Lepisosteus oculatus: one gene and its partner. The protein of the gene in region 1 interacts with the protein of each later gene in a pairwise test. Links are inferred from orthologs where the notes say so. Each region holds a gene or a part of one and is shown on either strand. Other genes may lie near its edges. The genes, in order: kinesin-1 heavy chain and cAMP-dependent protein kinase type II-beta regulatory subunit.

Region 1 (16,395 bases):
CTTTCTTTGTTCCCTATAACTGGAGATTGTATAGTTTTGTTTTAGAAAAAAATGTGTTCTTTATGTACTGAGCACGTCAAGTGGAAGTAGTGTCTTCCAGCCCTTGTCCGTACAGCCTATTAAAACAGGCCGCAAGCTGACCCATATGCCACATCATAGTGACTTCTAACAGTTCAGAAATACTCCATACAGAGAAACAAAGAGAAAGACAAATATTGTCCAACTCTGAATCTGCTCTACAGGTGTGCAAAAATAGAAATATTTTGTTTATAAGTTGAAGACTGATATATAATGGTGAGAGGGTAGCTTAATGTCTCCATCTGCAAGAGAAGTTGTTCATCATGGGAATGTGCGTATGGCACCAGATACACCAACCTAAGGTACCAGCATATTCAATTTGTCAGTTTCTAAAGTCCCTTCTTCAAAGATGGTCAAATGCAAACCCATGCAGCAGTTCAAATATCTCAGCCTGATTTATCAAGCAGGACACTCTGCCTGCCCAGCTGTGCAGCCTTCTTGGTATAAAGAAGAGAGATCTGGCTGCTCTCATACTCATGACTGGCAGTCATGATTCCTTACCAACACCTGTAATTCCTTTCTAGGGAGGACAGGGTTCATTCAAGGAAAGCAAAAATGTCCAGGGATCGGAGTAAAGAAGACTGCATTGCTGAATTGTTCCCACTGTTTGAATAGGTTTGTTTTTTGATAATTAAACCACAAGGAGAAGGCATGTGCTCATGTTAAGACTACCCAGAACCAAACATACTATTGTATTAATAAATGAATATTATATGAACCCGAAAGCACACTTTTCTGATTTATCAGGCGTGCACCTTCCCATTTGCACAGCTTCTCAGAAGATGGAAGTAAGTGGCTGCTATCACACTCAGAAGTTACAATATCCGTTCTAAAGGGAGAGACGGGAACCTCCTCAGGGTGCAAAGACATTTGTCAATTTGGAGAATACCGTGGTGAAGAACTAACCCTCTTCCTCACTCTGTGTTGTTTCCAAATTGTCGATGGCCTCCGGTGTCAGAACCCTTGCTTCAGCCGCAGGTGATGTGGCGGGCGGTTGCCATGGTAGCACAGACCACTTTCTCTTTCTCTAGACCCCCTCATCCTTTTGCTGAGCAATTTCCAAAACCTTCACAGGGCTTGTCCCTTATAGCTTACAAAAATTCAGAACAGGCAGCAGGGCAGGTAAACTGTTCTTAAAAGCAGTGCTTCTTAAACTCTTCCTTATCTTTTGTGTGTTACAATGGAATCTTTACTGATGTAGTTAACACCCTCTGGTCTCTTCTCTGCATGTGTATTAATATGTTTCTATGTATGTTGTTGTGCATCTTCCCTGCGAGACTGTAAGCTTTTCTCAGATAAGCCTTGTTACCATCTCAACCTGCTGTGCAGTAATCTTGACACAAATGAAATCTGTCGATCGGTCTGTTGCCTCTGCACTGCCATGGGCTCAGTCTCTGGAGATACTCTATATAGTAAACGATCTCCAGAGTGAAGCAGAACTTCACACAGCTTTGTGTGCCTAGGAACAAAGCAAGTTTTGGGTTTCGAGCCTCTGTACAGTGAGCTTTGTTTGCTTTCTTGAAGCATTGTTCCAAAGCTGTGTTATTAGAGAAGTCAGTTTTGACAAAAGGGGGTGGGTAAGTGAAGTCTGGCAGGTAACCATGAGTATGCCCCTCTTCTTTTGTTGCTTCAGCAGAAACATCTACAAGAACACTCTGAACGGAGTACGTTTATCATTTGTGATAGCCTGGGGAAGCTAGTTTAGCTGGTGTTCTTATTCATGCATGTAGATGTGGATCAGGGTATTATAAGAATTAAAGTTTAGTCATTCAAATTAACTGATGATACAGAGCTAAGGGGGCATGCTATCGGGTCAAATAAGGAAGATTAGGTAGGATACAGAAGCAGGCAGATGAAAATCCATGCGAAGTTTTACATATGGATCACGATTCGTACCTTCTACCGTAAGCGCCCTGGCATTCCCACGCATGCTAAATTCCACACAGGCTCATCCAGGAGCTAATCATCCAGCCACGTCTCACCCCCCAGTATTTAGACACTCTTCAGCGGCTTACTTATGCTCACCATTGAGAAGTTTTCCACAGCTCTCTCTTGTGTGCGCTACTATTCTCGACCTGACTCCTTTCACTCCTTTCACTACCTGACCCGGTTCTCCTACTTTTGACTTGGCTCTTGCCTAACGACTTGGATTTGAAGTCTTGGATTTACTTTGCTCGAACTCCCTCCCTCACGGCTTCACACAGGGGTCCAACTGCACTTACAGTTCTGCCAGAAATCCTGGCAGAACTGTAAGAGCAGCACAGAATTGTGGACTGTATGATGATGCACGGTGGGAAGAACTGGGAGCTGTGTATACTAGAGCTATCAACATGTAGGCCAGTGGTTCCCAGTCCTGGCCCTGGAGACTCTGGTGACACCCCCGTTGGTTTTCATTCCATCCTGCCTTCATTACATAATTGAAGCCCTACCTGATCTAAGACTTTGCTTTATTGTTATATTGGCATTTTTTTTTGCACGTCACACGTCTGTGTTTTTATTTCACTTACAAAATACAACAGTTAAAGCTCCGTCATGTCCAAGAGCCGGGAAGAAACAATTCAAATTAATCTGATTATTAAGTCAGTGAAGGGTTTGATTGTGTAACTGAGGGCTCAGCTGGGACAAAACCCTATAGGTATGTGGGTGACCAAGACCAGGACTGGGAATCACTGGTCTAGCCAATGCACAGGAGTGATAGAAATGGCAAAGAGAAAGCTTGGAAATAAAACTGCACACAAGTCTGGTTTCCACATTACAGAAAGAACAAATATACTGTAGCACTTTAGAGGAAGTCCAAAACAGAGCAGCAGCACTCATTTCAGACCTTAAAGGGGTAAGGTATGAGACGAGATTTGTGGTACTTTACCTTTTTAATGTTAGGAAAAGACTAAGAGCAAGAGATGTTTAAATACTTGACCGGAAAATAGAAATACATGTATTATTATAAACATTTAACAGCTGCTAATATTGAACAAATTCTGTACCGCCTCTAACCATTTCATGGTTCAACTGTGAATATGGCGAAATGGAGCACTCTCAAAAGGTTTCCAGTGAACTTGGAAAACAAGCATAGAGGAAGTGTAACCGAAATCTTGTAGAAAAGCTTGGATAAATAAAATACGTTTAAAACACCATTTTGTTTGCTGCTGTAAGCCTGCCCTTTTATTCTTCTCTGTCCAGAAATGGTAATAACTGCAGCATACCGTCATTATGACAAACCACAGTTTATAAAAATAGCCCTGTTCTTTAGCCCATAGTGATTCTGCACCAAAGTACAGCAGCTCCCGTGTGCAGAATGAAACAGCCTGGTGAGCTGAGTGCAGTGACATCCTGGAACCTGTTAAACTGGATTGCCACGACAGAGTGGCTCTGAAAGACACTTTTGAACTGATCCTCTTTTTGTTTTTGCATCCACGCAGGTGTGGTTTCAGGATTGTGGCCAGTGGCACAGTCTTTTCATAGTTTCATGTACTTTGAAATCCAATAGTGGCTTCAAGAAACAATGTCAAATACAGATGCATTTTGATGTGAATCCCAGCCCGCGAGTTCCCAGAAGCACCACGCTCTCAGGTTTTCAATAATGAATGCAAATAAATGACTGGAAAACCACCGTCTTTGTGCAAGTCTTTGTGAAGGCTGACATTTTCCTTTCTGTTAAATTCATTTGGATGTTGTTCCATTCCTGTGGTCAAAAAATATCTGGCACAATGGAAAGTGTATTATCTTCAAGCCCTGTCGATGCCCTTTCTGTAGGAACATGCATTTATAGGTTCTAATGCACTCTTATTGTGTCCAGGTACTGCACACTGAAGAGCCCCATTCCTGGGGAATGCGCTCGTGTTTAGAGTAGAACACAAAATTAGGAGGGAAAGCTGAGTCAGGTCTCTGGTGGCCATCTACAGCAGCCAATTAAAGCGCCAAAATGACAAAATATTGCTAATTTCCATTTCTCTTGGCACAGTGTGAGGAAAACATCCCTTCCAGACTACCCATTACCATATCTTAAAATGTAGTCTCCTAACACTATAGCACTTCAAGGTAGAACATTCATTTTATTTTTTTCCTTAAGCCCCAAATTATTTTATAGCAATTTCTGTTGGAAAAACTTCTTTGTTTTCTTTAGCTTTACTAGCCATGGCTGTGCAATGTAGCTCTGTAATCTATTTTTATTTTTTCTATTCACATTTTATTTATTATGCCTGCCACTTACTTACATCTTTCATATTATGTTCATTTATTTTAAAATCTCTTTTTACCAGGTCGGGTGGTTCGGAATTGCTGTTGCTGCCCTTCAACCCCCAAAATTACAGCAAACGAAATTAATATTTCAATTAGCAGCCATATTACCCTGCAACTCTGGCACAACTGGCAACCCACTGAAGCTCAGCAGGTGTGAGCCTGGCCAGTACCTGGATGGGAGACCACCTGGGAAAGCTGAGGATGATGCTGGAAATGGGGCCAGCAGGGGTGCTCACCCTGTGGTCTTGGTGGTTCCTAATGCCCCAGTATAGTGACGTGGACACTGTACTATAAAAAAGGGGTGCTGTCCTTTGGATGAGACTTAAAACCAAGGTCCTGGCTCTGTGGTCCTTAAAAATCCCAGGGCATTTCTTGAAAAGAGTACGAGCGTAACCCTGGCATCCTGGCCAAATTTCCCATTGGCCCTTACAATCATGGCATCCTAATAATCCCCATCTATGAAATGGCTTCATCACTCTGTTCTCCTCCCCACTGATAGCTGATCTGTGGTGAGCGTACTGGTGCAGTATGGCTGCTGTCACATCATACACGTGGTAGTGGAGGGCAATCCCCATTACCTGTAAAGCACTTTGAGAGGATTGTCTAGAAAAGTGCTATATAAGTGTAAGCAATTATTCTTCTTATTAATTATTACTATTTTCAAATAATCCAAAGGAATGTCTTGTCCAGGGTGACCAGCCTCTCATGAGAACATATAGTATTTAATTTTTCATTACATTTGCAAATGACAGGAGGCCAATCAGCCCAAGGACCTTGTTTTGTAGACAGCAGCTGATTGGTCCTAAGACCTCATCCATCCGTTCCTTAAAAGAAATCATGGCATCACCTCCAGCTACTTGGCTGAGCCCCACAACCCTCTACATAAAGAAGTGACTCCCTTTCTCAATTTAAATGCACTTCACTCTAGAAAACATCACCGTCTACTACTATTTTTAAGGAAATAAAAACATTAAACTGTTGCTAAGTTGTCTCTTAAATCGAAGAACCATTTTTTAAATCATGTCATGCTGTCATGCCATGATTTTCAGGCAATAGCAACGTTCAGAGTGAAAGGCTGTCTCATTTTCCATAATCACTTTATATTCTATGAACAGTAGCTAAGAGCTAAGTGTTTTTTCCCATGTTCATGTGGGTTTCCTCTGGGTGCTCCAGTTTCCACAGTCCAAGGACAAACATGTAGATTAATTGGCTTCAGGAAAAATTGGCCTTAGATGAGTTTGCAAATAAATGTGTGTGCCTTGCGCCTATTACCTGTCGAAATAAGCTCTGGATCCCTGCAACTCTGAATTCTCATTTTAAATGCACTTTAGTTTCCCTGGCTCATGTTTACTGTTGATATCCGTTACAAGACAGAAGAAGTTCAGCGTACACATGAAACCTGTTTTATTTCACCATATCATTATTTCGTTTTTGTTTGAACCATCCTCGGTCCATGTAGGGCTGTCCTCTGTCCTCTGTCCTCTGTCATCCTCCTGTTCAAATAGTGTGAATGAAAACATCGCTGGAGGGATACCCTGCCCGTCCTACCCATCTTCTGAAAACATCACAGCAAAATCACTGCTCTAAAAATAAGCAAACACTGAGATAGCTGGCTATGACACTGACTGACACTGAGATTACATCTGAATGCCATCAGTATGAAAAAAGTATGAAACTCCTTTTTTGTGCAACTCCCATACATTCATATAGCAGTGATTTCAGTCCTGTGCTGGACTGGACTGTGTGTGTGCCCTGTGTTGGACTGGACAGTGTGTGTGCCCTGTGCTGGACTGGACTGTGTGTGTGCTCTGTGTTGGACTGGACAGTGTGTGTGCCCTTTGCTGGACTGGACTGTGTGTGTGTGCTGTGCTGGACTGGACTGTGTGTGTGCCTTGTGCTGGATTGGACTGTGTGTGTCCCCTGTGTTGCACAGAACTGTGTATGTGTGCTGTGCTGGACTGGACTGTGTGTGTGCCCTGTGTTGCACAGAACTGTGTATGTGTGCTGTGCTGGACTGGACTGTGTGTGTGCTCCGTGTTGGACTGGACAGTGTGAGTGCGGTGTGCTGGACTGGACCATTCGTGCTCTGTGCTGGACTGGACAGCGTGTACATTGTGCTGGACTGGACAGAATCTTGTGAGGTTGTTTATATCTTTCCAACTACATAAATCACTGAGGAACGATCTTTACCTGTTATAACATGTATGAAGTGATATAATTTCTAAATTGTATAGAAATGCTTTATATTCAATTTTTTTTTGCTCATTACATTAAAATACAGTAGTATGTAATCCTCTGTAACAAAATCCTTTGTATCCCATTAAAAACCTTGAAAGAGATGGGCCTGCTGGATTTTGCATTTTGCCATTTTAAATGATCTAATATTTTCATTCTTCTCTATATCCACATCCTTCTACATACCTTAATCTTAAAAAATCAAATGTGACAATCTGAAGTGTAATTAATGTCACGTAGCTGATAAAGCTTTGAGTATTGTAACACTTCGGGGTTCACATGGGCGCCCTCACTGCTGCCACATCAGGTCAGCCCCCCACCATCAGGGACTTGAACCCAAGCCTCCAGTGTCACTCAACAGGGACCCAGCCTCTTGAGCCAAAGGGAGATCTCCCTTCAGCCCAGCGGCTGCAGTCCCTGCTATACACAGGGAAGGGTGGTGACGTCACTGCGCTGGTAAGCCGGCTCTCACAAGCAATGGAGGCCGTATGCGTTACAATATAAACTATTTGTTGTTATCTAATGTTGGATGTTATCTTTTGTTGGATGGTAGCTTCTTGCTGAAAAAGGCCAGCAGCAGTGTGGAGGCTCAGTCATGCGTTGTGTATTTCTGTGCGTACAGTAAAAGGTGTAGTGAGCTGAAACTGCTCAAACTTCATCTTTGGCAGAGATAATAGATCGTTGTTTCCCTGGGGACAGGGATTTGAATCCTGAATACCAACTCTTGTGATTTGCATTAGCATTCCTGCATCTTGGCATCTGTTCTGTGAGCACATGGCTGGGATATTTTTATGCAGTCCAGTGAAGATGCTTCTCTGCACCAACTGGCCATATACTGTCTCGAAGAGAGAACTGCTAAACATATTTTAATGGGGAAAAAATCCAAGAAGTTCACTATGTGCTTCATTTCAAAATATTCTAAAGCCTTTAATTTATAATTCAGTCATCTGCTCCTATTTAACTTTATTGTCATTGATATACAACTACTCACAAGAGAACCCAACTTTAGGAGTACATACATAGGACAAGAGGTATTTTTAACAATTGGAAACAGGATCTTTCCCTCTCCGGAATATTTTTTGACACTTATTAAAGAATCACAAGGAACTAAATGTTTAGTAAAAATAATTATATTTATATAACATGAGGATCATATTGAGTGATGACATCTGAGCTTTAATGTTGTAAATATGAATGAATTCAAACAGGAGATCTCTTATAAATCAAATCCAAATCTTGGTCAATTTCATTTTCATATTTCCATATAATCTATTTCTTTTTCATTGGTGTGTCATACTTACATTTAGGATATATTTACTGATGATTCAATCTGTTAAAAGAACTATTTATCTTATCATGTGAAGCACTTGTTTTATTTCATTTTACGTCTTTCAGACACATTACGTATTTTTAACTTATGCTTATTCAAAAACATTTCAGATGTTTCAGCAGCTAACATCTTATTTTCTTAGAACACCTAGCACACTTCGTGCTACTGTATGTGCCTTTTGGTTTCTAGAGGTCCAACTAGAGAAACACAAGCAAAGATTATCATCAGAAAACCTTCAATGCCAGTTAAGAGCAGAAGGACATTAAAAATATTACAAATGGACATGTGGTCCAACAATGTTTAGTTATCCTAGTTTTATGTGCGCAAGAATCCCATAATCCCAATAAAAAATAAAAGAAAGAAATAAAAACAAACAATAACATACAAGATCATACAGATAGGTCAATTGGACATAGGCCCTAGTAAACACTTGAGTTTTAGGTTTGGATTTGAAGAACTTCAATAACACTGAAGCAGCCACCGAAGAAACTAAGAAATTCAGTGCTGGGTATAGTGAGCAAAAGACCAGCCTCAACTGAATAGAGCCTACGAGAGGGAGTGTAAACATGGAGGAGCTGAGAAATGTATGAAGAAGCCAGATTATTTAAACCTTTAAAGTCAGTAACAAGCTCTTATATTGAATATGTAATTGTATAGGCAACTGTAGAGAATGATATGCTGCCAACAGAAGAGTGTTAGGGGTACTTTCTAGCAAATTATCAGGTAATGCACTTTATAATTGTAAAACTCTACATTTTAACCACATACCCTTTGTAAACCTATTTTCTTCCATCACACTACCTAAGAAAGAGAAGAGATAAACCAAACTCAAAGATATTTCTCACAGATTGCTAGTTCCAGTTCAGTACCAACAAAAGGTATTTGAAACATACTGTACTTTCCTGAATATTATACTTAATCTGTTGCATTTTGGGGGTATTTGTGCCAACCTGAAAAGCATCTAAATCGTCTTGTATTTCTTTTGCCTTACGGAACTACTGTTGTGTCTCCATTGAGCTTTGTGAGGTTTGCAAAACTCACAAGTTTACTGATTGTAGCAGTCTCTTGCTAGGAATTTAGACGAATAGCGGTTGTATCATAGCGGATTCCAGTGACAACGATGCACAATAGTAAATTAACGACACCGAGCGCTTAATGAATTGCCTTCAGTAAGCAGCCAGACGCACTACATGTGCGTGAGTTGCGGCAACAACTTGAAGCAGGAACTCGCCTGTTGGTGTTGAGCGCACAGGCACTGGGATTAAAAATTGGTGCCAAGACAGAAAAGGAGAGGGCGGGGGACTGGCGCTTAAAAAAGCACGTGCCATCACTGTCCTTGGTTTTACATTTTAGGAATCAACGGCTGCGGTTCAATTATCCTAACCATATGCTCAAGTGACATCATTGTCTCTGCTTCTGTCTGACCAGCTGTTCAACCCCGGAACCTCCCTCTGTGAACCCGTAGGCTGCGAATGGGGACACACGAAGTCGGACGTAGGTGGGGCATCTCGTACTTGTGGTGCAAAAAAAAGCACCTGCATCATTCTTGCACTTTTTATGAAGCTGTCTGAAGTATGCAAAAAAAGAATACCCCCTGTCAATATGTATACACGATAAATGCGCGAGTTGAAAAAAAATATTTATAATGCAAAAGAAGAAATCAATATGTTTGCGTTTCATTTGCTTATGTACGTCCGGTAGGAAAATTCGGTTCTCTGGCAACACAGGTATGACTTGGCGGCGCTGCCCTCAAATCCGTAACCGCCAATCTAGCTGTAAGCCCTGGGCTGGGCCGGTCTATCCGTCTCCGGTTGGGGAGGGTGTTGATAATATCGGAGTTATCTGCAGAGGTGACGTCACCAGCCGCCCGAGAGCAGCAGACAGAAGGAGAGAGAGAGAGATCTGCCGGTGTCATGGCTGCCATATTGGAGAGGAAGTGATTCCTATCCGCCTAAGAAAAGGGGGCATTTATTACCGAGAAACCGACTGGGGGCATCGTTTCTTCGGCACTCGGTGAAGGGTTTAGGGGTGCGGCCTCCGGTTTTCTACCCTTGGGCCGTCCCGGCAGCAGGATCTGATTGTTATTATTGTCAGTTTCATCCCAGAAAGATTGGAAGATGGCGGACCCGGCGGAGTGCACCATAAAAGTGATGTGCCGATTCAGGCCGCTGAACAATTCCGAAGTGATGAGAGGGGACAAATACATCCCCAAATTTCAAGGGGAGGACAACGTTGTTATTGGGGTAAGTTGGGAGCAGAAAAGAATTTTCTTTTCTGCGATCAGGGTGGCATCGGAAGAGGCTGATGTTTTAATACAATGAGGGTTAAAAGCCAAGGGCAGTGTCTGTGCTGTCCACCCACAGATTGACACATGAGCAGCAGCCGACTGAAACTTTAGCTAATAACTGCGGCTTCATTAAAATGCATACTTACTTTTGAATTGTTTTATGCACGGAGACCCTTAACGCTTCGTTTAATCGTCTTTTGAATTCTGATATTTTTTTTCCTTGGCCACTGTTGAAGTGCGCTAGACGCCAGTTATTTGAAAATAAACGATGTAGCGGCCCGATCTCCTAAAGGGAATCGTGCTTCGTTGTGTTTTGAGGCCGGTGGCAGATCGCTGGAAGGGCTGGGTCAGACAATAAGACTGGCCTAATCGTGCCCTTTTCCACGGCGCACACAACAAAGCCAGAAGTGTTGTCCACAGCTGTAACTACGTGGCCGGCACTAGGCATTTCCCAAACCTAAAAGCGTGAACTGCTTTTGCATCGTCTCTATTGGTGTATTCGGCGTCAAAGTGTTCTGTTTCGGCAATGCGGGGGTTTCAGTTGGTTGAAGCTGCTGGACCCGGAGGCCTTCACTCGCGTCGGCCCCTCTCTGGCGTCTCAAAACAAAGCGGTATCTTTTGGGGGAGCGAGAGCAGGGATTTGACAAGCGGCGCTCAGTTGTTATTGCCTGCGTGGATATCCTACGTCTGGGTCTTGGACACAATAGGTGTGCCCGATGGATTAGGCCAATTCGGTCGGGGGGCCCTTTTATTAGGGCATAAAATTCTCCCCCACAGCCAAATAATACAGTGCTCGGGGGGGTTAGAAAATGTTTTCCAGACTGTTCGTCTCCGTGGATGCACGAATGAATGAAGTCACCAGTGAACGCATCAGCTGCTGCTTGGCTAACGCCTAAATTCCACGTTGCCCTTTGCACTCATCGCACCACATCTCCCAAGTGAACTCGGAAAAAGTACTGGGGAGGGAGTCTTTGAACCCGTAAGACTGGAGAGAGTGCGGTCGCGCTGTCACTTGACAGGTGTCAGGCTGGCGTGCGCCGGCCGAGGGGCTCCTGTTTGTTGTGCGGTGGGTGAGGGGGCCCGTGAAAGACAATGGCGCCCCACTGAGCTACCGCAGCTGAGAGCACGAATTCGCCAACGACCGCTACAGATTTGAAGCACAGTCATTCTTGAAGTGCAGGCGCCGATCTTGAAATCGAAAGTTTTTTTTTTTTGCTGCTTTGTGTGCAGAAAAACTTGGCCCCTGCGAAGCGTGTCCTGAAATAGCTGCCCTGCTCAAAGATTTTTCAGTATCCCGGCATCAGCGGAATTCACATGGGGTGATTTTTTTGTCTTCCCAATTACATGGTGCTGACGATCACTGATAACAAGTCCAGCCTTTTGAGGCAACATTCATCAAAATACCAGTTCCTCAGATGTCACGGAGTGATATTCGTGCCTGCTTGCAATTTGTCTTTTTGAAAAACATTCTGCAAAGGCACACATAGGACATGGGCAGTACAGATTGGTCAAATGTAACTGCTGAAGTTATTCATAATATCCATTTGTAAAATACAATAGAGCTCTTTCCACATTCCTCATTGTCCTCTCTGATTTAGCTTTATCACTCTGTGGGACTTCACAGGGATAGAATTGTGGTTTCTGTAGTACACACTGCCTAATGAGTCTTTTGTCAGGACGTGTAACTCAGTATCATGAATATGCACTAGGAAATGTATTTGATCTGTCTTGTGACCTTTTGTAAAGAGGCTCTTGCTCAAAGAGTCAATATTTGTTTGGAAGAAAATAAAGCTTATGAAGAACTACAAGTAGGCACATACAGTATAGAGCTAGACAGTCGTTTTAAGTCAGGGGAACCATCCTGACCTTTGTAGAAAAGCAGCCAGCTTGCTACCCCGAAGGATCTTGTTAATTGAGAATGCATACATGCTCATAATATGGTCTGTGTATTATTTGCTGGCTACTGGATATGCATCTTATTTCTCTGAAAAATTTGGAATTTGGGTTGAAAAGAGCAAGAACGTTTTCCCTTCTCCAGGCTAAAATTCTGTTCTATAACAAGGTTGATTATTGTGGAAGAAAATACACTTCAGCTTTTAAAGCTATCCGTTTTACTGTATGGGGGGATTAAGAATGTTAGAAGGGTCATATAAAACAGGAAGGAAAGTCCACTGGGCCTGTCATTCACTTAGTAGTAGTAGCTGATCCCAAAATTGTGCATCTGCTTGAAGTATACTTGCTTAAGCAGTGGAGTGCATGGTGGTATTTTGGTTAGCAATGCTGCCTCGTATACAGTATTCCAGGTTTCTATGGCTACATTATATGTATAATCAACATTTTTGCTTATGGGGTACGCCTTCATCGTCCAGTCTGTGGTTCGAATGTCAAGTTGTTGAGAAGCTTAGGGAAGCACATACAAAGATCAAGGCCCTTCACAAACAGCACAGTCAATACCGTTGTCTAAACTAAAGGAATGTATGAACTGTTGCACTCTAACCATTGTAACGTTTTAGCATATAACACTGTTTGGACTATAGTCCAATATTCTGTATCAACAAAGTTATAAATGTTAAGTGTTTTACTTAAGATGCAGTGCCATTCCCCATTATCGCTTATGGGTTAAAGCCCTTTTTTGTTTATTGCAAAAAATAGTTGCACAGTATAACTATAATATAACTATTGCATGTGCATGTATTGAGTATGTATTTATTTTTCCATGTAGTTTTCATTAAAAGGATATAAGATTCCGATGGCAAATGAGGCCTCAGGAAAGTCGAGCTAAGCTGTACTGCAAGAATCTCTAACTGAAGTGCTCCAGGACGACTGTCTATTGTACAAGATCCCCTAAATATATTATTTTTTCATTATTAGGAGCTTTTGAACCATATGGCACTAAGCTTGTATCGGTTTGTCAAGTAATTCTGGATGTTGAGTGCTGAGCTGATGCATATTCTTATTTTTGTTCTAAATCATGTGTAAATTGCTTACTTTAATAAAGCCCCTGTGTAACTAGTTGGAGTAAAAATTTCCAGTTTTCAGTTTTTTTATAGTTTAGTTTTTAGTGTTTACTTATATAATAACAATAATTCCTTACACTTATATAGCACTTTTCTGGACACTCCACTCAAAGTGCTTTACAGGTAATGGGGATCCCCCTCCTCCACCACCTATATGATGCGACGGCAGCCATAGTGTGTCAGAACGCTCACCACACATCAGCTATCAGTGAGGAGGAGAGCAGAGTAATGAAGCCAGTTCATAGAGGGGGATTATTAGGAGACCATGATTGGTAATGGCCAGGGGGAAATATGGCCAGGATGCCGGGGTAACACCCCTGTTTCTTTTCAAGAAATGCCCTGGGATTGTTAAGGACTACAGATGGTCAGAACCTCAGTTTTACATCTCACCCGAAGGACGGTGCCCTTTTATAGTATTGTATCCCCGTCACTATATTGGGGCATCAGGACCCACACGGACAAAACATGCAATGGATTTGGGCATTCCAGAACCACGGTTGGAGACCCCCCAAGTTTACAGAAGTCACATGCAGCAGGTCAAGTTATGATGGATAGCATGTCCAGAAATATTAGGGTGCCCTTGTCTGCGTTTGCTTTTGATTGTAGCCTGGGGTGGATGTGTTTCGGCCAGTCTGACTTGACAGGGCAACAGACCTGAGGTTTTGAACTGTATCCGTTGACAGCTGAGTAATGCACGTGGAAATGAATGAATCCTTCCCATGCTCTGTTTAAAAGAGCTTCTGAAATATTTATGACAAGGTCAGTAATTTTCAGGAGATAACTGATTAATGTTCCATTTAGTTCAGCAGAGGAGAGGGTGTGATTTATATCAGTATGCGTTAGTAAGCTGGAAGGATAAGGAAACATCAGAGGGCTGTGGGTAGTGGTAACTATCGGATAACTCCATTTTGTTTGCCCAGCCTGCCGTTCTATGGAAAGAAATAATCTTCATAATCAGTGTTTTCTCTTCACAGCAGTGCAGAAAGTTAGGTTAAAATGCACGGGAGGCACTTAATTGGCACTCTTGTTGAATTAGTTTGCATGTCGTTTGTTAGGTACGATAAGAAGAGTTGTCATTTTTGCTGTGTAGTTTTTTGTTTACTTTGGCTTCATTAGCTTTTCTGATAACCATCAACATTCGGCTCTTAAAGTAAGGGAAAAAGAATCAAAACGGGCCGAAGTTGAGAAGTTCAAGGCGCCACCCTTGCACTACAAATGGAGGAAATGTTTTAGTGCAGTTAGTGCCGTTGATGGTGTTTTGCTCAGGTGGTGACATCTTGTTACAGTCCGGGCAAATCAACATGGCGATATGTTTATGGTTTCAAAGGTTTCCCTTTGGCTCTTTAACCCCTTCTAAGGTGTCTAAACCAGCAGCAGAACAGAAGAAGCAGTCGTACTTGAATAAAAAAGAAACGGTTCATAAAGGCAGTGTAGCGGGCTTCCGGGTAGAGGTGCCTGCCCAAGCCCTGGCAGGTGGCTGGTGGCACAGGTTGTGAGGGGTGTTTGCGTTTTAGCTGGTTTAGCGGCTAGAGATTCACACTCCAGTCGAGCGATCTGGCTGTCGGATGTCAGACCTCCGAGCCCTGCAGTGGGTGTTCACGGTGATTAACCATTTTTGTAACTGGCCACTCCCCGGGCTTGAATGCAGAAGAGCTTTTGTTGTCCTCAGGTTTACCAGAACGGGTTTTGTTGGAAAGGAACAGTCCTTGCTTATGTCCCCAAGTACAGCCCTCTGCACACAAGCTTGAAGACCGGGAAGCTGGAGCTTGCGGCTGCTTATGTAATTGTTTTCCTGCGTTTGTACAATTACAGCAAGGCTAGAACATGCCACCCTAGAAATTCTTCACAGTGCCTCTTTATTTACTGTCTACATGCGTAAAGGCTTACCTGTATAAAAAAGCATACAGTTGTTTTGTTTTGGAATTGAAGATCTAAAATATCTTCCAGGTCTTTGCGGGTCCTGTTCATTTCAGCACTCTTCAGCTGCAAAAAGCTGAGTTTTAATTCACCGTCACTTTTAGTCAATTTATGAGAATTCATATTGAAATACTGTTTATTCAACAATTGGTAAGACTACTGGAATGATAAATGGGTACCTAATTGTGATATCAATATTATATTATCATGCAATTGGGATATGAACACCCTTTAAAAAAGGAGGTCTTTATATCTTTGGGAAAATTGTGCATCTTGCAGGCTCCTGTGTCTGCTGATCTGCTATGGGTGGTCCAGTGGTCATTCAGACATACGACCGTCAAATGAAGAGTGAAGCCATTTTTCCTTATTTCTCTCATTAAATCCGGCAGCGCCAGTACAGCAGTGTATGTGAAATCTTTGTCCCTCAGATGTGCAGTGCTGTGGTAGGGCTTCCTTTTTGTTGACGCAGGTTTGAGTAGCTGTTAGCCTCGTTTTAATAATGCACCCATGGGCCCCAGAGCCCTGCAACGGTTGTGCAGTAATCGCTTAATGCTTCTCCTGGCAACACATATCTGACTAAAATGAGCTCCACCAACGAGATTTAAATGGTATTCGGCCTGGGGCTGGGGCTTGTGTGGGGCTGGTAATCTGGCCCTTCGGCCAGGCCTCCTGATGCCTCTCTTCAGCAGTTAGGCCTCAGTGCCGTGTTAATCTTTACTGAGCAGGTTATTCTCTTTCCAGTCTAGTGTGATTTGTGCATCTGTATCGTTACAAAATACCTTGGCTTCTCTACCGAGACTGTTCTGTGGTTGAAACCTCGAGGTCGCTTGGATATCGTCTAAACAAATGTAAGGACTTCTGCACTCCTCTGATGTCCGTAATGCTGAGTGCAGAAAGAGAGTAATTGCTTGTGATTGAAGTCAAGAATTATGCCCAGGTCTGACCTGGTTGATTGGTGTCTGCTACAAAGCTGTGGCTTTAAGAGGACTCAACTTTAAAAACACCGCTTGAGTATTTGAGTACAGTTTATTATTCTTCACCTGGTTGGCAGAAGATGCAACTCTTCTCTCCTTAATTACGCATGTGGTTCACCAGGGTAAATGTTAGGTCTTGGTAATCCCGGTCTTTCGTTAATATTCGGCTGCGTCACGCAGTGCTGTACAGGCGAATATCATGTACCAAAAGATGTCTGTAACTAATAATTCCCAAAAAAATCAGGTAATGAGGCCCACTGTGAGCAGGAGGGAGTGCACCCGTTTCTAACCATTGTAGTGTAAAAGAAGTGGCTGTGC
Region 2 (16,193 bases), on another chromosome or scaffold:
TTTGTAATGGCTGGGCCTCAGAGGGACATTTTTGCACTGAAGTGCAAACATTGCACTGATGTCACTGGACACAAAAATTAGTATCTACTGTATATTTTTTCTGACTTAATTTACTTTTTCCTTACACATTCAAAAAGATTTAAGAAGTGTTGCATGCAAATATTTTAGACCTTAAAGGAGAAGTTAAAAATCTGATGTTAGCAAACAAGGGGAAGTTATATCTACTGTAGTGTCTGTCTGTGTTGAGGATTGCTTTTCCTATAGACAATTTCTTACCAATTATCTTATTTCTTTATTATGTTTGTTTTTCTTGTTCATTAGTATTCCACCATAAAGGAAATCAGAATTTCCTAAAATACCCAGGACAGCTCTATAGTAATGTTCAGATTATTTAGCCAGAATCTTGTTTCCAAGACAGATCAGAAGAAAGTCTTCCTTCTCCTCTCTGTGTCTTCTCCTATGTTCTCTTTCCCTACATCTTTTACACTTCTATCTCTGATTTATATTGTGTCTATGGCTGTTGAATGTTTATAATTTATTAAGGTTGAGAAGAGCAAACTACTAGAAACCCCCTTTGATGTTCTTTGTTTGTTGGCCTCTTAGCCCGCCTGCAGCTGGGCAGAAATCTCAAATGAAACCCATTGTTTTAAGTTTTCTAAATAAAGCCTAGAGTAGTGCAGTCAGAATGCTATAGACTTTATGGTAACTAATTGGATTGTAAGAATATGAAAAAGAATATTTGCTATGTTGAATAATATTCATCCATTAATCCATATTCTAACTGCTTCATCCAAATTCAGATTCAAGGGTAAGCCAGAACCTATCCTGGACAGGAATGGGCATATGGCGGGCTACACCCTGGATGGGACACTAGTCAATGACAGGTTAGACACAGACAGATACACACTCACACCAGAAATCAATTAACCTACCAGCACTACCAGCATGATTTTGGACTGTGGGAGGAAACCAAACACCCATAAGAAACCCACACAAGCACTTGGAGAACATAAAAACCGATAAGCCTTTGAAGAGTGTAGCATATTACTGCATTTTGGATCAATAATCAGAATCGCAATTGTAAAACCCTGGACACTGAGCTCTGCAACACTGATGTTTTCAAAAACAATTGCTAACAAGCTGTTAATGTTGGAGACAAGATTTCTGTGGTTGTTATGGTAATTTTTAATGATGTGAGAGAAGAAGGTGGATCTAGCAGACTCTATTGAAACCTTATATTCAGACACGTAATCTCTCCAAGCCCGATAATGTACATTTAGCCCAGAAAGATTCCACCTACGCTCAAGTTTGTGAGAGACTGTCTTCATAGATCGCAGATGGTTGTTATACCAAGGGGCAGGGCGAGAGAAGGAGATGGTTCGAGTTTTTAGAGGACCAAAGGTGTCAAGGGTAAATAAAAGAGCACTGTCAAGTAACTGTATTTTGTCGTCTAGGGGGTCAGAGGAAGAGAAACAAGATAAGGAGGACAGAACAGAATTTGCATACCTTGGCTGATCAACTGATCGCCAGTTGCAGAAATTTACAGAGTGTGAGGGGGAAGTGTTAGAAACAGGTAATTCCAGATTGAAGAGAACAGCTAAGTGTTCAGAGAGGCATAGTTCAAGGGAAGAGCAGTGGGAGATATTTGAGTCATTTGCAATGATTAAATCTAGGGTGTGTCCTTTGTTATGTGTAGGGTTACAAACTGAGTAAGATCAAAACATACCAGTAGAGAAAGGAAGTCTTTAGCCAGACTGGAAGACCTTGAGTCAATGTGTATATTAAAGTCCCCTAGAATAAAGATCCTTTTAAACTTAAGGCATAAAAATGAGAGGAAATCAGCAAACTCACCTAAGAAGGCTTCACTTTGTTTAGGTGGTCTATAAACTGTGGAAATGATAGTAGATTGGGGGATAGAGACATTTAAAACAAAACACTCAAAAGAAGAGGGAAGAGGTATAGTAATAGGACTTAAATGGTAAAAAATGTTATAAATAACAATAATAATAATAATAATTGCTTACACTTATATTGTCACACCCTCTGCAGCCAGAGGGTGCTTCTTCTCTGTCCTGTCCCTAGTTTCCGGTCTGCTGTCCTTCCTGTCCCTCTCTTTCCCTTGGGCTATATATTTCCGGGTCTTGCACTCTGTCCTCGCTCAGCATTGACGTTCGGATGTCCTGAGACCCGCCCAGCATCAGGGCGCCCCACGTCCGCTCCCTGAGGGCATAGGTTTCTATACGGCATTCCTGAACTCTTCGCACTAATGAGCCCGGGCCTTTTTCCTGTCTCGCCGCTACACATATGGGTCTTTTTCCGCTCTCCTGCTCCCCACGGTTAGTCCCTTTGGACGTCCGTGACATATATAGCACTTTTCTGGACACTCCACTCAAAGCGCTTTATAGGCAATGTGGACTCCCCTCCACCACCACCAATGTGCACCACCTGGATGATGCGACGGCAGCCATAGTGCGCCAGAATGCTCACCACACATCAGCTATCAGTGGGGAGGAGAGCAGAGTAATGAAGCCAATTCATAGATGGGAATTATAAGGAGGCCATGATTGGTAAGAGCCAATGGGAAATTTGGCCAGGACGTCAGGGTTACACCTCTACTCTTTTTTTGAGAAACACCCTGGGATTTTTAATGACCACAGAGAGTCAGGACCTCGGTTTTACGTCTCATCCAAAGGAGAGTGCCTATTTACAGTATAGTGTTCCCATCACTATACTGGGGCATTAGGACCCATATGGACCACAGGGTGAACACCCCCAGCTGGCTCCACTTACACCTCTTCCAGCAGAAACCTTAGTTTTTCCCAGGAGGTCTCCCATCCAGGTACTGACCAGCCTCACACCTGCTGAGCTTCAGTGGGGCTGCCAGTTGTGAGTTGCAGAGTGATATGGCTGCTGACAATGATGCCCCCTTCTGCCTGAGAGTCACAATGTCACAAATCATGTCACAATTTGTGTGAATTCTATTATGTTGTGAGACCAGGAGTTTGCCAAAAGATGGAAACTTACAGTACTTTCACAAAGTTCACTATTTTGTGCTTAATTCAAATTTTGTTTTTCTATACCATCAATGAATTTATTTGTTAACAAGATTTAATAACCGGTCTGAGAAACTGGGACTGCAGTTCCCCTTTAACTGAAATAAAAACATATTTTCTGGTCTAATTTCTGTGTTTCTTTTGAATCTATTATTACACTGATTTCTGGGAACTGTACTTTGCCAGCTTTTAGGAACGTATAATGTCCAAGTGTAAGACTAAATTAAACCCAAATGTCCCTTCCCTAGGGGATAGGGGATAAGAGGAGAGATTGGAAAGCACCACAGAACAGCAGTGGAGTGAAAATTGCAGCATGTAAAGACCGAGAGGAGACAGGGACGGTAATCACACAGCTAAAAGAGAACTGAAGAGGAGAGGATTGTTCTGACCTCTAATGCCAAGCCATGATAGCCTAATCCACATAAACAATGGGCTGAGGCACACTGGCAGCTTGAAGCCTCAGAAGGCTCCGGAAGACTCTTTAATTTCAGGAGGCTAATCATGTCAGTATGATGAGGACCTGTATTTTCCAAACTGAATCCTAATGTGAATCTTTTATTGTCCCTACCTTTTTTCCGATCTATGGGAAAACCTTGGAACCAGTCCTAAGATGGTTGTGCTTGTGTCAAAGGGTGAAGAAAAATGGGAGAGGGACAACAAGTGTCAGGCACTGTGTTGACTTGAAGTTTAAGGAGGAGTGGTCAGTTTCTCCCTATGGACTGATGCATTTTCACCTTGTGCTTTCAGCGCCCTCCCACTGCTCATACACTTGGTAATTACCACACAGTTCAGAGGTGAAGTGTGGGATTGGGAGACACGTCTAACTTTGTCGCAGCCTGAGGTAGGGGGGGGGGGAGGGATATACAATGCATCATTACAGATGGACATCTGCATATAGCAAGCTGATCAATGTGTTCTGTGTCTCATGGCTCTTTGTGTTGGGTGGGCAGTGATAGAAATTGCTGTGTTGTGGGGATGTTTTTGTGTGATGAGTGCACCGTAATAAAAGAGGAAAATATGTAGAATGTTTGCGTTGTCTGGTCTGTGGGTACACTGGTGGTTCTGGGAAATAAAAAGAATCTGTTGCTGGAGAAAAGGGTCCTAGCTCCTTTTAAAATTGCAAGGTAAAAAGTGAAAGCAGTTCCTGCATTTAGAGGTCACCTTTCCATGACAATGTACAACAGGATTTGCAGCCTGTGTTGAAACAGTGGCTATTTAATGTCATAGTATATATAATATACTATTATACTGTTACAAGCTGATAGCTGGATATATTGGTAGTTGACAGTGGAAGTGTCTAAGAATCTAGAAAAAGTGTGTATCACCTGGCAGTGTAAACATTTCAGCTTCAAAGCAGAGGGGATGTTCGCTTAGATGTAGGGGGCCAGTGTCTGTGATCAAAGCGCATCATAAAGTTTACCTTAGTTATTGAAGTTCTGAGTAAATGACTAAGTGTCAATAAACAGTCTAGAAGACAGATCATATCAGATCAGAAGAAGGAAAAATAAGAAGGTCAGACATGAGAGAGGAGAAGAGGAGAGGGAACTTGAAGCTTGTGCCTTGCTAAGAGAGCTTGCTATTCTTTAGCTTTTAATGAATTTGGAGTTCCTGAGCAAAGAATCTCTCTGTTTAAAACTGCCTCTCCTGCTTGGTGCATTTTAAAATAGGGAAATAGGCTTTCGTTTATTCTGTGGCATCCAGGTTACAGATGGATTTAATTGTAGGTTGTATTCTATTTAGTTTAGAAGGCAGCTTATCTTTTCTTTAGCCTCTGTAGGCATTAAGAGTTGAATACTTTGTAACAGTCTGGAGTTTTCTGGGTGGTTTAGATGTAGGCCTTGTCTGTACATAATCTATATGTAAAGAAACTTCCTGCTCACTAGTCGCTGTATTGACTAATGTAATGTACGAGCAAATAAGTAACAGAAATGTTCCAACATGATCTCCATGCAGATTTAACAAGTAGCATTTGTTGGCAGAACCATCTCAAAATCGAGAGCAATATTCACAAACCTGCTTGTTTACACTATATACCTGCTTGTTTACAGTATGTATACAGTATATACCTGCTTGTATACATTATATATAATATATAGAACTGTTTCTTTTTGAATGGCCCAGATTTGGAAAGAGAGTCAATGGCTTCCTTGCCACAACACGAAAAGTCCACAAATTCTCCCCAATCTGGAGAACTTTTGTCTTACTGTCTGTCAGTCTTTAACTTATTTATTATGGTGCAGAAAATATTCATACTGAACCCTGGGAGATTTCTGGGGGTGCCAGACTGGACATATTTTATGTCTAAAGAAAACCTACGATCTCCCAGTGTTTTTCCATTTTTTTTTGTTTCTCAAAAAAATTGGATGACTGACTAATGTTTATTCTTCAAGGTCTCATCCCTAAATACGTTCTTTCTGCACATAAAATCAGTTTAATTCCAGTTCTTTATATATTATGTAGAGTTTTCATCTAGAAATGTAACACACTGGTTGATGCATGTTAAACATGTTATCCAATACAGATGTAGTTCACTCTCACAGGTGTACACATAGGAATGTGGCTGTGTTGATGTAGAAATGCTCTGAGATAGACTACCTTTGGTTTTATATGTGGTGGAACTATATAACCATTGGAACTACATAAAGGGGTCCTGCACTATTTTTACCCAGTGACGATTCCCATATGGCTGTCGGTCTCTATATACAACATCTGTTGGCAGGTTTTACTATAACCAAAAATGTATCTTGTGAATCTCCATTTAAATCTCTTATGGTTGCACTCTTTTCTAGATATTATTCTTATGTAGAGACAAGCATAGCCAAATTATGTTATTCAGCGCCAAGAATTGTTTCATCCTTGACAGAGATTTTTTAAAAGCACACAGTTTATTTGAGTGGTCACTTTCCTTTGTTTTTTCTTTTCCTTTTTCTCTGCATTTCAGTTGAGATCTTCCTTCTTTTCTGGTCAGTATTTCTGTTGATGTTGTTTTCAATAAAGATAATAATAATACCAACATTATTCTTACAATATCTGGAGCAAAGCTGATAATCTAGCTTCTTTCAAGAAACAGTTGGATGAAATCCTCAAATAAATTAACTATTATTGTAAACAACAACAACAACAATGGACATTGTCTCTTTTGTAATCTTTGCAATGTTATAATGTTCTTACATTCATATACCGAGATACATTAAAAACATAACACAAGCTACTGCTTCAAATCTGCATTTGTTGGATATTTAATACCACTTAGTATACAGTATATTGACAATTGTAACCTTTCCAATACGTGGAACTTTCCACATTCAATTGCTGACAGAGTGCTTTAAATACTGGAGGGGCCGTACTTTATCCACTGTTGAAGTTTAGCTCCCAACTAGTTGATGAGGGCATCCATTATGGTTCAGACACCCTGTACTACATTGCAGGTCAAGTGGGGGAGTGATAAATTGCTTACCAACTGAATTAAGTGGAAATTTAGGATGGGCAGATTATGCAAATCCACAGTGGAATTAAATCAGGACACCTGGGTTAACACTGCCATTGGAACGTTTAATGATCATGTAGCTAGAACCCTGGATTAATGCCTTGTCCAAAGGACATAATATTAGTTATGTAGTTAGTGCATCATACAAGTGCAGATTTAGATTTTCACCCACACTTCAAAACCTTCCCCACTGTCATTGTTTCACATCTTGATTTTAATTAAATGAGGTACTGCAGAGCCAGGACAACAAGGAAATGAATTTATGACAGAGCGATAATAACATGCAGAAAACAGTCATTTCAACTCCTGAGGGAGGCCATTCTAGAGCCTGCCGAGATCTCCCAGGTTTCCACTGATGAAAGTGGTGTTCGGCGTTGACTGGCCATCGGGATGCAGATCATATATTTTGCCTGAACCCAGAAATAGGTTTACAAGCTAAGACTGGGCAAGCTTTCACAGGGCCACCTTGGACAACTTATGTCTTTTTTTTTTAGGCAAGGCTAAAAAAACAGTGTGATTGCTTTTATAATGCAAGAGGCCTCACCCATAAAGGTACATCTTATCCACAGGCCCGTTGTTGGATAAGTTTCAGCTTATGGCCTCTAATCATTTGTGAATGAGGCATAAATTCTATTATCTCTACAGTTCAGCAAAAATACTTACTGCAAAAAAGCATGCTTTCTCAATGACATTTTTATACAGTAGGTAACATATAATCTACTGGTGTTTTAAGTATCACCAGCTTTTAAAGTGGTGCCATGATGTACTGTACATACATTCTCGTAGTGCAGTGTAACTCAGGATTCTGCAGAATATGAGGCTTTTTCATCTACTTCAGCCTCCCACGCCTTGTTGTTTCTGAATTTTTAATTTTGAGAATTTTTTTGCACTCTGATGGGAACTGCAAAAAAATTTGGAACATTTGGATTTTGGAACATGCAACATTTGAATGTTTTTAGAAATCATTCCCATAGACTTCGTTATTGTATTTTTCAATGTATCCATTTTTTCTGACAATGACCTCAATAGTGATTAAATATAAGTTGATTCATTTCTGGGCTCACAACTCATGAATTTATTGATTGGGGTTTATTGATGTCCTCACTGAAGATAGAGACTCAACTCATTTCTGGTTTCTTTTTTCTTTGCTGGTATATATAGAGTTCAATCTGGTAGTACCTAGGAATGCTGTTAGCTCTGATTTTGTTTTTTGCTCTTTTGTTTTCCACAAACAACAAATAAAACATAAGTAGTCTAAAAGCATAGTTTTCTTTTTTGAAGTGAGTTTCCTTTCCAGCTGAAGAGAGATTTGTAAAATAAAGACTTTGTACTGAAATACATAGAATCCTGTTTTGTTTACTCTTTTGGGAAACAATCTAATTAATAACAATGGAACAAACAACTAGAAATTAAACAATGATGACCTTAAGCTACCACTTAAGTGTGTGATCTGTTTTTTTTGTCTGTTTAAATATTTTAATATTAAAACGAAAATAAACAAATACAGTTCCATATAGACTTTTGACTCTTGCTTGGATCTCTTATAGTAGTTCACACCTTGTATGAAGTTAGCATTGCAGTACAGTTTTTCCTTTTAAAGATTTTGAAGACAGTTAACTCTAAACCTGCTACTCTTGGAAGTGCATATGGAAGTAACTATTTTTACACATCAGATCCTTCAGGTGATAAGTTTAATACTTTACATTGTCACAGATATTGCTGGAGGAAAACTACTCTCTTTCAGCAATGCCTCCTTGACTCGAACATCAAAACTGTAAAAGATGCTGATATTGTAAAGAAGCACTTGAAGGTAATCTGTGTGACCCCGCGTTGAAGCAGTGCAATGTACAGAAAGTTGTAGTCACTGAGCAGACTGATTATCACTTAACCTAGTTTTGACTAAATTTAGTCTAATAAAGGTCTTAATGGATATAAAACTGCATTTAGATATCCATTAAGATAGTTCCCCTGTGAAACAGAACGGGGAAACTTGACTGTTAGTTCTCACTGTTTTTATAGTGGGTTTTCAACGAAGACTTAAACAATGTAACATAATAATTCAAATTTAGGAGGGCTGGAATTTACAAAGGTAAAAAGAGCACACTTAAGAAGGCCAACAATCTGATAAAAAATAAATGTTTCTCAAACAGCAATTGTTTGTGAAGCTGAAATATTCAACCCATTTAAGGAAAAACACCATAATTAAATTACACAATTAAAAATCAAAACTTTATTTTCTATTAGTTAGCAGCCTTTTAAACAATATGGAAAACCAACAAGACGTTTCTAGATTTAGAACACTTAGTGTGTGTTAATCCTCTCTCTCTGAGTTGATGATGTGCCTCATCACACCATATACAAATCAAGTATATTTAAGTAAAGTTACTTATAAGTAACTTATTTTCAAAGTTGTAGCCTACTACTCTTTGGGATATTCAGTATACCTGTCTTTACGATTGTACCAATTGTGCTGAAAAAAACTTTGGAAATTACATGTTAAACTCTATAAACATCATTATAATAATTCCTTACACTGATATAGCGCTTTTCTGGACACTCCGTATCCTGCTTTACAGGTAATGGGGATCCTTCACCACCACCAATGTGCAGCCCCCACCTGAATGATGCAACGGCAGCTATAGTGCAGTACCACACACCAGCTATTAATGGGGAGATCAGAATGGTGAGGCCAATTCATAGATGGGAATTATTGGGAGGCCATGACTGGTAAAGGCCAATGGGAAATTTGGCCATTACACCAGGGGAATACTCCTACTCTTTTCGAGAAATGCCCTTATTACTATTGAATGTCCCCGTATGGGTTTCCCACTTATAGATAAGCTTTCCTAGCAGAAGCCCCCTCTCCCATTGTTGGTCTATTGTTGGGGTTGATCTATAATACATTGCAACTTTTTTGTAAAATGCAAGGGGAAAACGCAACACATGCAGAAATACCTGGGTTTTTTTTTTTTAAAAAAAAGAAAATTACGTCAAGTACACAGAACGTCCTGCTAAGTGGTAATAATAACCTGTCTGCTGTAGCCTACATTTTAGACGTGTATGTATTGGCGGTTCTAGCAAGCGCACAGCAGAAACTCCAGGCGGGAAAGCAAAACCGTTTGAACTCCGGCATCACCCGGTTCAAAATCTAAGACACGTGCCTAACGGCCCCTTCGACGAGCACAGCAGAAACGGTAACGTAGTACTGTTTAACTCCTGCATCCTTGTTCAATTTAAACTGCGTTATACGATAGAGAACTTCTGTTTTTCAATATATATACTTAAAAGATTCACCAACAAGTATCCTGCAACACGGGCTGCGAATCGTCGAAAAAGGTGACGCTTATCAGATGCATTTTTTTTTTCGGTAGATGGTGTTTTGGGGGCTTTTTTGTAACGTTGAATGACCTTAAAAAGCAAACCATTGAAACCACAATGAAAACATTTTCCTTTCTCAAAATAGGCAACATGCGGTCGGTTTTTCGAGTTATGTACTGTAGTTTAAAACTATTCTTTCTCCGCAGTTCAATTCACCAATGAGAAACCTACAGTTACACCTTACTCCCGACAGTGTAAAGCGTTCACCTGGAGGCATTAAAAACAACTGCGTACACGGCTAGGGTCGCAAAATGGCACGTTGCACATGAACGTGCGCTCTCAGGCGCGAAATGGATGCTACTTAAAATGAACTTTGCCATCGTGGCACGCATAAATAGACACCAGCGGCACACGGTGCCGGTCTACACCAGGTATTCCCGAAGCTCCTCAGTCACTGCAGTTTCGCAGCGGCTCTCGCACGCAATCCCTGGATGGGTGGTTGCCATGGTTTCTCGGGTCACATGCATGGGCTTCCTGTAGCCAGCCAGCCAGCGGCATAGATGCTACAAATTTCACTGCCATTTTCATTCAGCAGGCGGTAGAGGAGGAAGGTCTGTGTTGAAAGCACTGGGACTCGTGTGCTGCAGACAAAACCCCTGTCAGCTGCACTGCACATTTTGGATTGATCTGTTTTCGGAAACTTTTCTCCCGTTTCCTCAAATTTTATCACTCAGGAGCCGAGCTTTAAAAACCAACAACTAGGGTGATCGAATTCCTGTGATACTATTTTGCACTTATTTCTCCAGAGATTGATTATAGGAATGAGTATAGAAATCCCTGCAGGGCTGACGGAGCTGTTGCAGAGCTTTACAGTGGAGGTCTTGAGGAATCAGCCGGGAGATCTGCTCGAGTTTGCCCTGCAGTATTTCACCCAGCTGAAGGAAAGTCAGAGTACAGGGGAGGCACTGGGCCATGAGCAAAACTCATCTTATAGACCCGGGAAGGGAGTCAACTTTATTGAAGAACCCATGCAAACGGATTCGGAAAATGGAGAGGAGGATGATGAAGACGACGAGGAATTCGTAGGTAACACACGTTATTGTTATTATGACTTTTATTGCCCGGACCAGGGATTACGATTCTCGTCTTTATTTTAAGCAAATGTCGGTAGTTTGAGAACCCTGCAGTGTAAACGTGCTTCGAAATACTAATAAAATACCGATCCCGCACGAACAAATCCCACCCCCCCAAAGCGCAGTGAAGGATACTTATATTTTTTTTCCCTGAAATAAATTAACTCTTTCTAAGATCGATTTAATGTACGCGTTATAAATAGAATAATAGACCCAGCCAGCAGACGAATGCTCATGAAATGGTCATTTTTTGGCGTTAGCCGTCTATCTCGATATACAGTACGTGTAGCAGCAGCATATTTTGACAGTATCGCTGAGAAAATAGTACACAAGCACCTTTCTGAAAGGTAAACGCCAGATTCTCTCCTTGACAGCACCTTAGCGCAAATAGCTGACGAGGCACCGCGCAGGGCCTCAGACGACAGCTTGGATAATATTAATAACACCCCTCGCAACAAAGCCTGATGTGCACATTATACAGCGCACCTCTACACTATGTGTACTTACAGTTTGTGTGTGGTGTGCACTATAGTGAGATACCTGTTCCATGTAACTTGTGGGGAGATACTTTAAAAGGGCCCGTTATGTAATTTTCTCACGCTTGGAACGTTAAACACGTAATTCATGATGTACAGGTTTCGTAAACATTTGTTTCTGTTGTTTAAAAATATGGAGACGCTCTGAACAGTGTGCTAAAGCTGCCGGCCTTGCATATTTTTTTTTATAGTCCCCAAAAGAAAGATCTTACCTTGATGTCCAGTTGGCCGTCTGTTGTACTTTCCAGCTGGAGGCTATCGTGCACATTCTACAGTACATTGGATTTGCTCTGTGTGAAGATGGAGTTTAAATTGTGGGGACTACTCCTGGTATGCTTTATGAATCTCAGTGCAGTCTGTAAACATAAATAAGGCCTGTTTCAGTAAGGATGATTCTGACTTTACGTCACAGACATACAGTATTGTGCTTTGGGGAAAAAAAAACCATGATGACTAAGGAAGCATTTTGTTCTAGATTTTGAATTATAGAATTCAGACTCTTTTTTCTTTATTCTGTTTTTGAAATTCTCAAGGCTTGTTTTATAAAATCCCATTTCATTAAAAAAAATACAATAGTTCAGGTTGATATTTTGCCATGTACTGTGATAGTGTTGCTTATGCAGGGGAGATGCAGTCTGAAATCACTTTCTGAAATTGCCCTCCATCGTGAATGAGAGATAATTGTGAAGTTGTTTTCCTTAAATAATGTGTGACTGACTTAATGTCATGATCACTTACCTAGATCGTGGAGGGTTTGAGTTGACCTTATTGGTACAGTAAGGGTTTAAGATGGTCTACACTAAACTTTAAAAAGAAGATGAGTTATTTGCTATGGCTGGATTTACACACATGTGAAACAGCCATGTGAAATGACAGTGAGGTACAGGACTAACAGCTGTATTGACATCATCAGGAAATTCCCACTTAAGCCCTTTTCGTGTTAAATTTTCAGTCCAGAATATTGCTTCAAAATTAAATGCCGTTTGTGTGCATCTGTTTAATTGGGATTGATTAGACCTCTGTGATCGCGCTTTGCAGTCATATGCAGAATATGCAGTTCCAAGAAATGTCAGGCTATTTTCATGAGCAGTACAGTGTTTAGTGTTTAGCAATTGTAATTACTTTGAAGGACTGTGGTAGATATGCAGCTAGTTGAAAAAGTGAATAATTTTCATCTATTTTAAAGATACAAGAACTACGTCTTATGCTATGTGAACAAATCACAAAACATGAATAAAAAATAAGTTTTCCCCTATTTGTGACATAACTTACTCTCTATTTCATCAGAAGGTTTCTGGGTTAAGCCTTTGCAAGTTAGTTCAGTGAAGCATACCAGAGCCTACTATCAGAACTATCTAAAATGTTTAATGTGAAAAAAGGCATTCAGCATTTTTAGTTCTTAATATTAATTCAAGAAGTTAATTTAACAAAGGTTATACTAGAAATAGTTTTTATTTAGTTCACACAAAGTTATCATACAGTAGCAGACAATTGGTCTTTCCTACTCCGTTTTTCTCTTCTGAATTTTGTGAAGAATATTATATAGTTATGTATGTTTTCTAATAAAAAAAATTAAGTCACAATCACAGAATCAGAAAATGTGATTTTGTAGTGACATTGACAGGAAAGGCAGCTGTGATGAACAGCTGTTGTCTTGTATTTTCAGTACTATAGTTATCAAATAAAGTGGAAAGGGTTTATTATTATTTATTATTAATGCACAATGTAATACCTGAACACAAAAATATATACCTGTTGTATAACACAAAGCCAATATTGAAAGCATGTAATTAAAAGAACGTTCCTTGCAACTGTTACTGTAGCTGTAGTAGTATGAGTAGTCTTTGTGATTTCACTTGTGTAAGACTTACCTTCTGTGGTAGACACAAATGTCTAAGATTTTTTGCTTAAACATTTTTTCTTCTGAATCTTTGTATCTTTATATTAAAGAAGTGTTCACCCCCAAGGCTTCAATTTTTTGGATACATTTTATTAACTAAGAAAAAATGAAAGCTTGATCCATGTATTAACAGAAAACCACCTTTTGGAATGGAATCAGCCTGTTTCTACTCAATAAACATATTCTGATAGAATGTGAATTTTCTGCTATGCCCATTGCTTATTAGGATAGGTTCTGGGTCCCTGTGACCCTTATTGGATAAAGCAGTTAGAAAATGCATGGAAAAGTGTGCATCTCTTTATTTCTCCAAAGTGGAAAGCAAATATGCGTTTTAATTATTAGGATAGTACTAAAACCTTTGTAAAATCATCTAAAACGGACACTGCAAGAAAGGCTAGGTGTTATGATGTAATCATTTAAATAGCTTCTCTGCCCAGTTGCCCTTTTAGACCTTTCCTTCAGAGATGTTGTACACAACAGAAATTTGAGAATTTTGAGGCCTTAGCCAATCAGTTCACAATCCAAAATATATGATAATTTTACACAGATAAGAGGATTTATGTTTATTATATCCCTGATACGCTCTGAGCCATACAGACAGAAGAGATTGCTCTTTTATTGTGCTTCGGTTTTGAAATCCTCAGAACCCCAAAACAGTTATGCAACTTCTTCAGTCTTAGGCTGAGAATGTGATCTTAGTGTTTAATTGTTTTTATTTTGAAAACGAGATATAAGACTGAAGTGGATTCAGAATGTAAAATAGTCAGCTGTCCTAATCTTCAAATATGACCCACTCGTATTTTTATATTGAGCTGTTATTTTACTTGAGTCTTAAGTGCACACGTTGGCTTAGTTGACCCTTTTATTCTTTCATTCTTACCACACTTATTAAATATCAAAGCCTTTATTCATGGGGAGAATACTTTTGGAAACTTTATTTTGATTGATCAACAAAAGCCTGCAGCAGTTATTTCATGTTATTTCTAATGGTGTACCGTTTTGGTTAAGTAAAGTCTATATTATGTTTGATTTATTTATGTGCAAAATATTTTTTTAACTTCAGGTAGGTGTAGTAAAATCAATACATGAACAATAAAAAAACTTTCAAAGATACAGTGTGATTGCTAAATTGGTTATTAACAACTTTGTCTTATAATCTAGCAGTATTCCTCTCCACTAATATATAAAACAATAGGCTAACAAACAGAAAATGGTGCAAAACGTTTGGGTTATTTTTGAAATATGCTGTATCTTTTTCAGGAAGTTTTATATTTCCGCAAGGTCTGGTTTGGTATTAGATGAATCCAGCATACAGTGTCCTGCAGGGGAAAAGTAAAATAAGTCAAACCGTAGACATATCAATCTGAATATGTTATACATTAAATTGAAAGTAGCTATTCCATTTTTAATTTATTTATGTAAAGCGCATCTCCAGGCTTTAGCTGTTCTCTTTTTAAAGGTTTGCCTAGTTACCATAAAATCACTTGCTTTCCAAATGTATGGTTTGGAAAAGCATGTCCCCCACAGTGTTAGTGAAATCTAAAGAGATTAGATAGAAACTGCTTACACTGTAGATGATGAAATATACAAAGTGTACAAAATACATGTCCAGGTTTTGACATGCAATAATGTTAATTAGTTGGCAGATTTAATTTTGGTTTTAGTAAACTTGAATGAACTTTGAAAGTAATGGACCCTAAGAAATATCTAATGTACTACAATTAGTAATACTGTCCAGATTGTGGTGACGCTGATCACACACATAAATGTGAGAAAACATTTGTGGATCCTTTGAATCACCTGTTTTCCTGCAGTATTTACTTCTAAAATGTGATCTGATCTTCATTTTTGTTATAACAATAGATAAACACTCTTATTAAACAACACATAAACAAGTGTACCTTTTCACGTCTATATTGAACACATTGTTTAAATGTTCACTTTCTGTGATGAAAATGTATTTGAGCCTTTAGATTTAGTAACTGGTGGAACCTCCTTTAGCAACAATGACCTCAACCAAATGATTCCTGTAACTTCTGATCAGTCCTGTTCGTTGGTGTGAGGGCATTTTGGCCAATTCCTATTTACAGAACTGTTTCTGTAAACATTTTAAAGGAACTGCTTCCATGAAATTAATTGTGATATCTTAGCAGAGAGGAAATATTATTGAAGAAATGGAAAGACCTTTAGTTTTGTGAATAGAAGATCAAACACAAAGACAACATGCCTCTAAGCTTCTCAAATATTGAGTAATCAAATATTATATTCATTGTTTGATTGTGTGTAATCATTTTTCCTATCAGAAAAAAAATAATGTGTGATAATGATGCATTATGATAATACAATATATACATATATTGTAATTTTACATATGAATATACACCATTCATACATAATTTACACCGTGCAAATCTTTCAAGAAAATGTCTTTTATTTGAAAAGTACCTGTGATTTTCGTCATTTCAGTCAAATAATTAGTAAACAAAAGAGCTTTTTATTCTGATGGCTGCAATTTTTTAGAAATACACTGACAACTTTCTGTAAATTAAAAATTAGAAGTGGTTTCGGTTTCATTTTTTATAATTGATAGCAAACATCCATTTTTTTTCAGCCCCAGTTATCAACAGATTCGTAAGAAGAGCTTCAGGTAAGTCAACATTCATTTTGTGTCTGTTGTAATATTTTCTAAAAAACATTTAACTTGCTTCACATTTGAAATGGTGAAATAATATCATATTTCTGCTATATTATGAAGAATGATACATT

The links.
Region 2: the proteins of kinesin-1 heavy chain (region 1) and cAMP-dependent protein kinase type II-beta regulatory subunit interact in binary tests that used the Homo sapiens proteins (3 or more experiments, as listed by UniProt). The two-hybrid records come from large-scale screens. The link is inferred for Lepisosteus oculatus from reciprocal best matches to the Homo sapiens genes KIF5B and PRKAR2B.

The regions. Positions count from the first base shown.
Region 1 is NC_090701.1:39,344,826-39,361,220, forward strand, and holds the start of kinesin-1 heavy chain, read left to right. Parts: upstream 1-9,760; 5' UTR 9,761-9,999; coding exon 10,000-10,125; intron 10,126-16,395. UniProt on the Homo sapiens protein: Microtubule-dependent motor required for normal distribution of mitochondria and lysosomes. Can induce formation of neurite-like membrane protrusions in non-neuronal cells in a ZFYVE27-dependent manner.
Region 2 is NC_090702.1:39,638,571-39,654,763, forward strand, and holds the start of cAMP-dependent protein kinase type II-beta regulatory subunit, read left to right. Parts: upstream 1-9,635; 5' UTR 9,636-9,734; intron 9,735-9,740; exon of another isoform or gene 9,741-9,876; intron 9,877-9,961; exon of another isoform or gene 9,962-10,664; 5' UTR 10,665-10,679; coding exon 10,680-10,944; intron 10,945-16,038; coding exon 16,039-16,074; intron 16,075-16,193. UniProt on the Homo sapiens protein: Regulatory subunit of the cAMP-dependent protein kinases involved in cAMP signaling in cells. Type II regulatory chains mediate membrane association by binding to anchoring proteins, including the MAP2 kinase.